2 linked regions of the Schizosaccharomyces pombe genome follow. The gene in region 2 interacts genetically with the main gene of each other region. Each region holds a gene or a part of one and is shown on either strand. Other genes may lie near its edges.

Evidence for each region. Genes that interact genetically often act in the same process or in processes that back each other up.
Region 1: of plg7 (region 2) and ptl2, a mutation in one rescues a mutant of the other (synthetic rescue), as found in Schizosaccharomyces pombe (one study listed by BioGRID).

Annotation. Positions count from the first base shown.
Region 1 is NC_003424.3:3,027,499-3,032,497, reverse strand, and holds ptl2 (triacylglycerol lipase), read left to right. Parts: upstream 1-2,038; 5' UTR 2,039-2,174; coding exon 2,175-2,226; intron 2,227-2,309; coding exon 2,310-2,526; exon of another isoform or gene 2,527-2,592; coding exon 2,593-3,928; intron 3,929-3,977; coding exon 3,978-4,265; 3' UTR 4,266-4,492; downstream 4,493-4,999. Other genes in the region: ATPase histone chaperone Abo1, read right to left, coding at 4,508-4,999.
Region 2 is NC_003423.3:398,503-403,009, forward strand, and holds plg7 (1-alkyl-2-acetylglycerophosphocholine esterase), read right to left. Parts: upstream 2,492-4,507; 5' UTR 2,183-2,491; coding exon 866-2,182; 3' UTR 501-865; downstream 1-500. Other genes in the region: cAMP-dependent protein kinase catalytic subunit Pka1, read left to right, coding at 1-28; tho4 (THO complex subunit), read right to left, coding at 2,663-3,181, 3,342-3,408, 3,515-3,639, 3,693-3,761, 3,803-3,847; gid9 (ubiquitin ligase complex subunit), read left to right, coding at 4,194-4,421, 4,484-4,507.

The DNA of each region.
Region 1 (4,999 bases), on a different chromosome or scaffold from region 2:
AAGAACCGACGTCCAACTGTCTACTAACTACTGATTCCAACAGATCCACGCCCACTACACTGTTCTACTCTACACACTTTGCGTGCTTGTCTGCTGTTACGATACCATCTACCAGCACATCCTTCCCTCGCCCCCTTTCTCAGCTACGGAACATCCCTCTACAACAAAGGACCCTTGAAATAGGACAACAACATCACCCAAAAAAGAAGGAAAAGAAAAAGAAAAAAAGATTCAAAAGAAAAAAATTACATTCCTAAAACTGATGGTGTGACACTATGGTTTTATATTATGACACATGCAATTTCAGTCGAGAAAGTTAGTCGAATCGTAAAAAAGTCAGTCGAGTAAATTTAAACGAGTAAATCAATTGAATATTGTGATTTTTTTTTTCGTCTATGTTTTTACAAAATAAAGGAAATTAAAAAAATTAAAATAAAAATGAAAATGAAAAATAAATTAAATAGTAAAAGCAAAAATACCGCGAGACCCTTACAAACTTGATGGAGGTCATTTTAGACGGTTTCGGTTGCTGCAGGCAATTCATTCACTTAACAAGTAAAATCTCCTTTCTTTCTCCGAAGGTGCTGCGAAGCCTTCCACTGCTGCTAAACACCTGATGAAATTCGGCAGTAAATGTAGACACTTCGTTATCCCAGCTTTTTTTAAAAAAAATTAATAAATGGTAGCCTTGCAGAATCCGGTTTAACGAGGCGATTTTGGCATGCATTATAATTGCTTTTCACACATGTTTTCCCATATCGTTTTCTTTCTCCAAGGCAAAATAGAGCGATGGATAGAATACATGCTATACATACGATATAGTCTATAGTCCATTTTGCATCTACAGATCCCTAGCGCACTACTCTGTTTTGTACAACCAAAAGTCCATCTTGCATCCATACAATCTTATTTACCACTTTTAATTTTTCATCCTTCTTTACCATTTTTTATTTCCATCCTTCTCTACCGCTTCTAATCCCTCTCCCATCCTTCTACTTTCGTTACCGTTTTGATGCGCTAACGATAAATAATACAACATTAGATTTTCTTTAACCTTCTTTCCATTCTCCTCAACACTTTAAATGGCCCACTTTAATAATTTTGCTTGCCCGGTTTTCCTGCTATTCCATTTGCTTGCCGTTACAATGTATCCGCATGTTTGCTCCTACTATCGCCGCATTGCGTTCCATTCCATTTTGCTATCGCAATTGCTCTGAAATCGGCTGCGTGCTAATTTTTGGACGCAAAGCTGCGATCATGGAATCTAGCTTCAAACTCTGGTATAAACCTTTTTTTAAACGCTTAAAAAACAACCAAAGTTAGTGCGCTCTCAAGCTTAAAGTTACGGATTTCCCCAAATCCGATATCTATTTACCGAGCGCAATAGTTTGTAAATTTAAAAAAAATAAATAATAAATAATAAATAAATAAAAAATTACACAAACCTTGAATTTGATCCAAACAACCTTTGCATCCTTTGTCGATCAAATTCCCATTCCTTCATTTCTTTTAAAAAAAAATTTTTTTTTCTAGAGCCGTTCCTTTCTCAATTCATTTTCGGGCATATTTATTTTGCTTCCTCTCTTCCTTCCTTTCTTTGTTTACACAAAAAACCATGATATTCCAATTGATCTTGCATGCTCATTTCTCACTACACCCTAATAATCCCTTTCCTTCATTCACTCTATCCTAAATTAAAAATTGCCCTTGCATCTTTTTTGTTTATCCAAAATTATTTAAAATTAGTGCATCAAAATCTTTTCTCGCAATTGCATTCCATCACATTACGTTTTATTTTGCTAATTTTTTTTCGACATCGCTCACTCCAATACTCAATATTTATTTACCATATTTTACGCATTACATCCTTAATGTTTTAATGTCATTGAGTTTATTCTGTTATCTGCTAATACCGATTTTACTACCTTTCTCCCTGTTTTCCATAAAACATATTCCCAACAGTGTCTTTAAATGACGTAGGGTCATTTCCTAGTAATTCATTATGTTCAGCACCTAGTCTCACGGTACCCTTTCTTCTACATTATACCGTTCTTCTTCAATTGATTCATGCTTTGATCTTTTGTTAATACCCAGTATTTATTTTTAATGATCTTATTTGAATTATAAAATTTTCTTTTCGTTTGCTTCATGTTTTGTTTTTTTCCTATCCAAAAATGTCTATCCCAGAGGAATCTGAAATAAATAAGGATTACACTGTTCAAGAAGGTAGGATGATTTGCTGTTAATTTTTATTACATAGTAATTTTACAAAACCAATTATTAACATTTTTCCTTTTTAAAATTTATAGATCTTGACGAATTCGCAAAATATACTTGTGTTTATAAAAAACGCCATGATGAAAAAATTGAGTACATCACTGCTCAACATGATTGGAATCCAGTCTATGAGGCCGTAGTCCCTCGCAAGTCAAAACCGGGTAAAGATGAAAAACGAGAGGGCTTTATGTATCCCATTCTACGTTGGCCCTTGATGTTTACTGCTTTCCTATGTCTAACCTTTGTCGCGTATGTTTATCTGTTACCCTTTACTTTATTTATCCATTTGTATTTGCTAACATCATCAACTTGCAGCTTTCTTTATCTTTTGGACCGTTTGTATATTAACTGTTATGAGTACTTTATTGTTTGGAGAGGCGAAGCTCGCAGACTTCGTAAACTCTTGCAAGAAGCAAAAACTTATGAAGAATGGAAGGAAAGAGCCAGAGCTTTGGACAAATATTTTGGTAATGACGAGTGGAAATTGGACCCTGTTTACGATTATTATGACTACACGCTCGTACAAGCTGTTTACAGCAGTTTGGTAAAACATCGAGAACAGAAAGATTGGAATGCCCTCAAATCTGTACTTGATGTTTGTGTGAGAAGTAATTTTGGTGGAATCGACAGCTCAATGCTATATTCGCGAACCTATAGCGGTACCAAAAAATTGGTGGAAGACTATGTTAATGAATTAAAGGTTTGTCTAGAAACCGTTATAGATCAACGTTTATATACGGCACAGGAAAGATCAAAGATGTTTGAATACTTTTCCCATAATTATGGAAGAACGGCCCTTTGCCTATCAGGTGGTGCTTCCTTTGCCATTTATCACACGGGAGTGTTGAGAGCTCTTCTCAACCAGGATTTGATTCCCAATGTCATTACTGGAACTAGTGGTGGCGGTCTTCTTGCAGCACTAGTTTGCACCCGCACCAACGAAGAGTTAAAGCAGCTTTTAGTTCCTGAACTTGCTTCCAAGTATCAATCAGATATCGGCAATTGGCTAGATGCTACGAAGCGGTACTTCAGGACGGGAGCTAGATTTGACGAAATTTTATGGGCAAAAACTTGCATGTATTTTACTCGTGGAAGCTTGACTTTTGCTGAAGCTTATAAAAGAACTGGTCGTATTCTGAATATCTCAGTTATTCCTAGTGATGTCCACTCTCCTCCTAAATTGATCAACTACCTCACATCCCCTGACACTGTAATTTGGAGTGCTGTTATTGCTAGTTGTGCCGTCCCTGGTATTTTAAATCCTATTCCCTTGATGACTCGAAGTCAGTCGCACAGGCTTATCCCTCACAATTTTGGAAACCGCTTCAAGGATGGAAGTCTTCGTACGGATATTCCTTTAAGTGAGTTACGTACTCAATTCAATGTCCATTTCTCCATCGTCAGTCAAACGAATCCTCATGTTCAAGTGTTCTTCTTTTCGCCTAGAGGTACAGTAGGTCGTCCAGTATCACACCGTAAGGGCCGTGGGTGGAGAGGCGGATACGTTGGAAGTGCCATCGAACAGTTTTTGAAGTATGATATGATTAAGTGGCTACATGTTATCCGTAGTTTAGAATTACTTCCAAGACCCCTTGGTACGGATTGGAGTAGTGTTTTTTTGCAAAAGTTTGATGGCACTATTACAATATGGGTAAGATTATATATAGCAAATGAAAATTTACAACAAGCTAACATTTTAGCCTAAAACAAAATTTCAGGACTTTTATTATATTCTCTCTCCTCCCAGTGTTGAACGACTTGGTTATATGATAGATGCGGGACAGGCTGCAACTTTTCCTAAATTAGATTTTATTGCTGCGAGAATGACTATTGAAAAGCTGATTGAAAAAGGTCGCATGATGGATAAGCCTAGTAAATTGGGTAGATCTATTGATGGTACTATCGGTACATCCATGAGTCGTGGTGACATTGAAATAAGCCAAGAGTCGGCTAGCATTTCTCCGGAAGATATTGACATTGTAAATTAAAATTTACTTGTTTAGCGCCTTTAAATAGTAAACTTTATACCTATTTTAACAAAGTGACATAGAAGTGTGCAGGTGACAAAATTATACTCAATTGAAAGAGATATATCATTATTAAAAATTACTTTGTTTGTTTGTGCTTATGTACATATAATTAATGTATTAAAAAAATTTCAGCTTAAGCGAATACTTTCGTCATTCTGTATCAAAAATATGTAGCAATTCTCGACCATTATTCATTATGTCTATTGTAGTGCATTAATCATAAACTCTTTTACTGCTCGCTCGCATTCATCAACCACAGAGTTTCTATTCCATTCGGACTTCGTATTCCAAATGATCTGGTACAAAAATGAATGAAGATGTAAAAGCTGGTCAACGGTGAAGCCTGTTGTTGAATCAATAAGCAACTGCTTCAATGGAGTAAGTCTGTCCTCATCAAACACCAAATCAGGGAATACCACCTCTTGTTCGATATTCTCAATATGACCATCAGCGGATGTAATATTATGGGCATCAGTAGGAGCATTATTAGGAACATCAGCAGGAGACGTGATGAGGGTGTCAACAGGGATATCAGCACGGCCATTAGAAGAGATATTCGTAGAGACATCAGTAGAAACACGTAATGCGGCTTCTGATGGAACGCCTACTGGACTCTTCCCATTTAACAATGGAGATTGTACTTTGTCTTTTTGATCAATATATTCGTCAGGCTTGGGAGACTCTTCATTCTC
Region 2 (4,507 bases):
ATTTACTTCTATCTTTAAGGACTTTTGATGTTTTGTGCCACGTTTGTTTTGTTTTAAGATACTCGAATGCTTATTGATTCATTGTACTATTGCCTTAAAGCGTTGAGCAACGAATGCCTATTTGATTTAGTGCAATGCAAGTGACGTTTGTAGCACTGATTTTGCAATTCACCAATATTGGCTTCAGTTTTTTGTGCTGGTGTAATGGACCGACTTTATGTTTGGATGGGATATGATGATCTCAGTTGAAGCTATTTATTTTGATGTTTTTCCAGGCAATTAGCCTGCTCTGATGTATTTCCACTCCATTTTATTTATATATTCTGTTTTTTTATGGTTATGTTAAACCCCAAGTCATTTCTTCTTCATGTTGAACAGACAAAAGAGCATTGTTTGTTGAAACTGTGCAACAACTAGATACATATATCCGCTAATAATCATTGAATTTCCTTGTATCTATAATTAATGGTGGTTTCATTCGTAATTGGTTGGTAAATTATTTTGTTGAATAAATAATAATGTAAAATGATAAAAGAATCTATCAGTATATAAGACATATTACAAATTATAAATATTAGTCTAAATTTTTCAAAATCACACACTTAGCGTAAATGTTCGTCCTTAATCATCGCGGTCCTAAGCACAGGCTCCCAAAAAGTAATAGTTACCATATTCAATCCACATTAACAGGTAAGCTTTCGAAAATCTTCTTTATAAGCTATAAGAAATTTGTGCCAAACAGTTAACTCATTAGCATGACAGTCAATAAATATTATAATTAGCATCGGCGATAGATAAAAAGACAAGAAAAGTCAAAAGAGTTTTGTTTTTAAGAGTTTTTAGCTCTTTGTAAAAGTGGTAAATACTACATAATTCTTTCCCACCCAGGAATAATATTTGTTTGCAACGACGAAGGATCATTATCTCCCTGAACATTTTCAACATGATTTTCACGAAGGAATTGTACAGATGAACGAGTATTAATGCGTAAAGCTTCATAAGGGTCTGCTTCAAATTTTCCTTTCAATACCCTTAGTACCATGCGAGGGAGCAAAATCGGTAAATCGCTTTGGTTAGCATGTACTGTTCCATCATAAACAAACACGTGGGAATATTTTTTTAAAGGAACGACAGACATTTTCTCATCAGCGGATTCGCCTGCGTTTTGGTTTTCTGAATCCTTGTTTACAAGCCAACTTTCGAGAGCTTGAAAATTGTCGACAAACCGACGAAATTCGTAAGATATAATCATGAGCGTAGGATACCTCATCGTACTCAAATGGAGCTGGCGTACGGGAAGCATCCATATATCGTATAAAATGGAGCACTTAAACTCAGTGTGAAACATATAGTCATTATATAAGGACTTGGTAGAAGAACCGGAAATGAATGCGCAAGTAGCGGCACCAAAAGAATGACCAGCAACAATCAATTCTCCTTGAGCGGTATTCAAATTACCCTTCATGGATTGGAAAACAGAATTATAAAAAGAAGAGTCCACAGAGCAAAGAAAGGGTAAGTTTTCGTCCGGAGTTCCAAGGTCATTGATATTTCGAATCATCTGGAGGGCTATTTGGATTTCCTGCTGTCGAAATAAAAGTCGTTCATTCTGAAGCACAACCGTAGCGTCTGCATAAAAGTCGCTTATCTCGCGATACTGAACAACGTACGGGGGTTCTTCAGGATGTAATGGATCACGCACTGTAGATATGATGGCCGAGTTATCTCTATGCTCCATGGCCAAGACGACGATACCATAGGAAGCGATTGTACCACATAACGAAGAATACACATTTCTCGAGCCAACCAATCCATGGCTGAAGATAAATACTGGCAGTTTCCCATTGTTCGGTGGATGAAACAACTCTCCTTTGTAGACGGGCAAAGCTAAGTTGGTCAAACCAGAAGCGAACGCACGAAGAAGCCACCAACGAAAACCTTTCGCAACTTCGGGTATACCCTCATGGAATGGTAACCAAAGCTCATCGGTGCGAGGCTCTACATCTTTTGTTGGGTCCAATGGATAAAAAATGCGTACTTTTACGGTTCTTAGTTTGTGTTCAATGGTTTTATATTCACATCGAAATTCCTCTGGAACACTCAGCTCTAAGACTAAAGACCCCACAGGCAAGGGACCACAGTAGGCAGGTAATTGCTTTTTCGAAGAAAATCCCAATCCCATTTCTACCTAACAAATAAGAATGTAATGTAGAAATATATAAATTTATTTTATTTTAAAGAATGAAAGATTGTGTCAAAAACGATTCAATCAAATTACAAGAGCACAGTGATGATGTATTGTTAATTGCTATGATCACTGTAGTAGGAATAGAATGGAATAATGCCAGAAACAAAAACAAAATATCTCTTTCGTTAACAAGCACTTATAAACATAAATAAAAAAAATAAAATTAATAAATTTTTGGCCTTGCAAGGTAATATGAATCTGTCTGCTGCAAATTTTAATTTTTGGTACGATTCGTACGATTGTGGTAGAAGAAGGAAGACGATGGAAATTGACGAGCATCTATATATAAAGTAAGGGGTTATGATGAAAGATGTCCTTTTAGCCGGTTCGTTTTTATAATGTACAAATCAAAGCAATTGACTCAATAATCAACTTTTGGCATAGGAAAAGGGTTACTTGCACAGCAATTCGAGCTTAAACCGCTTCCATTTGGAGGTCCATCTCCTCGGTCAAATTACTATCTTTTGAAGGAGCAACAGGCTCGTTTTTCTCATGAGCATTGGCTATTGACGGTGTGAAATCCTGTGATGAGTGAGATGACACAGTTGAAGCAGCGTGAAATGACATTGCGTATTCGTCAAGTTCTTTGTCTAAATCTTCGTGTGAAATTGAATTATTAGAAGACTTTTTTGAAGAAGAACGAAATGATCTGTCGTCTTTTTTTGAAGAACGGTTGAATCCTCGGTTCGAACGAGAAGACCGGCTTGGTTTGCGGGCTGAATGTGGCATGTCGGAAATCCGATCGAATAAGGAAGGTGGAGACTTTTTCGAAATTTGAATTTCGGAGCCCTTCAAGTTCGTAGATTGAAGCGTCTTCTGGGCATCTTCAGCATCTTGGGAAGTTTCAAAGTAAACATCGCAGGAGCCTTCAGAGCGACCTGCACGATCATAGTTCATAATCACGCGAATTGGATGGAAATTTTCAAACAAAGACTTAAGAAAAGGTTAGTTTATTAATAAAAAAAGCGATTCGAAATCGGAACAAAGCTCTACTTAGCTTGACAGGGAGATTTTTTGTCAGGTTCGTTTCATAATCTTCAATCGAAAACTAAAAGCGAGGCTTTTGAAAACATAGTAAACATATATCACTTACCAAAACATCTTTTTCCAAAACCTGATAATGTAAGTTTTCCACACGAACCCCAAATCGATTTTCTGAGCTAAGATTGCTGTGTTAGTATATAATGATAATAACAGTGCATGTAGACTAAGAGCTAATAGAGTAATAAAAAAGTTTACAGCTTATCTTATAAATTCAAAACATACTGTTGTCTTTTCTGTAGGTGAGTGGTCCTTGGATGAGCATCCTGCTCTTGATCCAAGTCATGCTGCCACGGGCCATCGTCTGGACTAGAGTTGTGTTCTTTTGATGCTCTTTTGAATTTGTAGGTCTTAAAAAGTAAAAAATTAGTAAATAAACACTTAATCCTCGAAATTAGCATACCAATCGCGATTTTTTGGAAATACGATTTTGAGATCCCCTTCGCCGACTGTGCTTGTGATCAAAACCATTCTAGGATTGTTAAAACAAATATCGAAAATAAAAAAATTTACCGTTCTTTCATTTATAATTTCGTCCAAGGACTTTTCCAGCGACATTTGAAAATTGGTACTTGGCACGAAAATGTCGACTGGTAAAAATTAACCCGGGGCATTCCAAAAAGGAGATTTCCATACCAATTGCAGATTTTCCTGACATAAATTAATATATGCACCTCTTTTTTTATTGTTTTTTAGCTCTCCTTATTTTTCATTCATCTTGCACTACGGTCCTAGAAAGTGTATCTTTCGCCAACAACCCATCGTCTTTCTGCAATTGCTGTTTTCCTTACATTTAAACAAATTCTTCTAATTACTTTCTTATTCTTAAAATATTCAATATTCTTTAGTTGATTTAAATTTTTGGGTCCATCTACCAATAGTTTGTTAGACTTTGCCTTCAAACATGAATTTTCGTCCAGAGCAGCAATATATACTTGAAAAGCCTGGTATTCTTCTCTCTTTTGAGCAATTGCGCATTAACTTCAAACACATTTTGCGGCACTTGGAGCATGAATCGCATGTGATCAATTCCACATTGACAACGTTGATCAGTCAAGAGAATGCATCAATGGATGAAAAAATAGAAAAAATAGATTCTCTCCTTTCAAGAGTCAGTACTGTAAAGAAGAAGGTAAGTTTGATTGATTCTTTTTTTGAGTTGGATATTTGTAACTTACATGGTTCTTTGTGTAGATGAAGCATTTGCATGATTGTGAA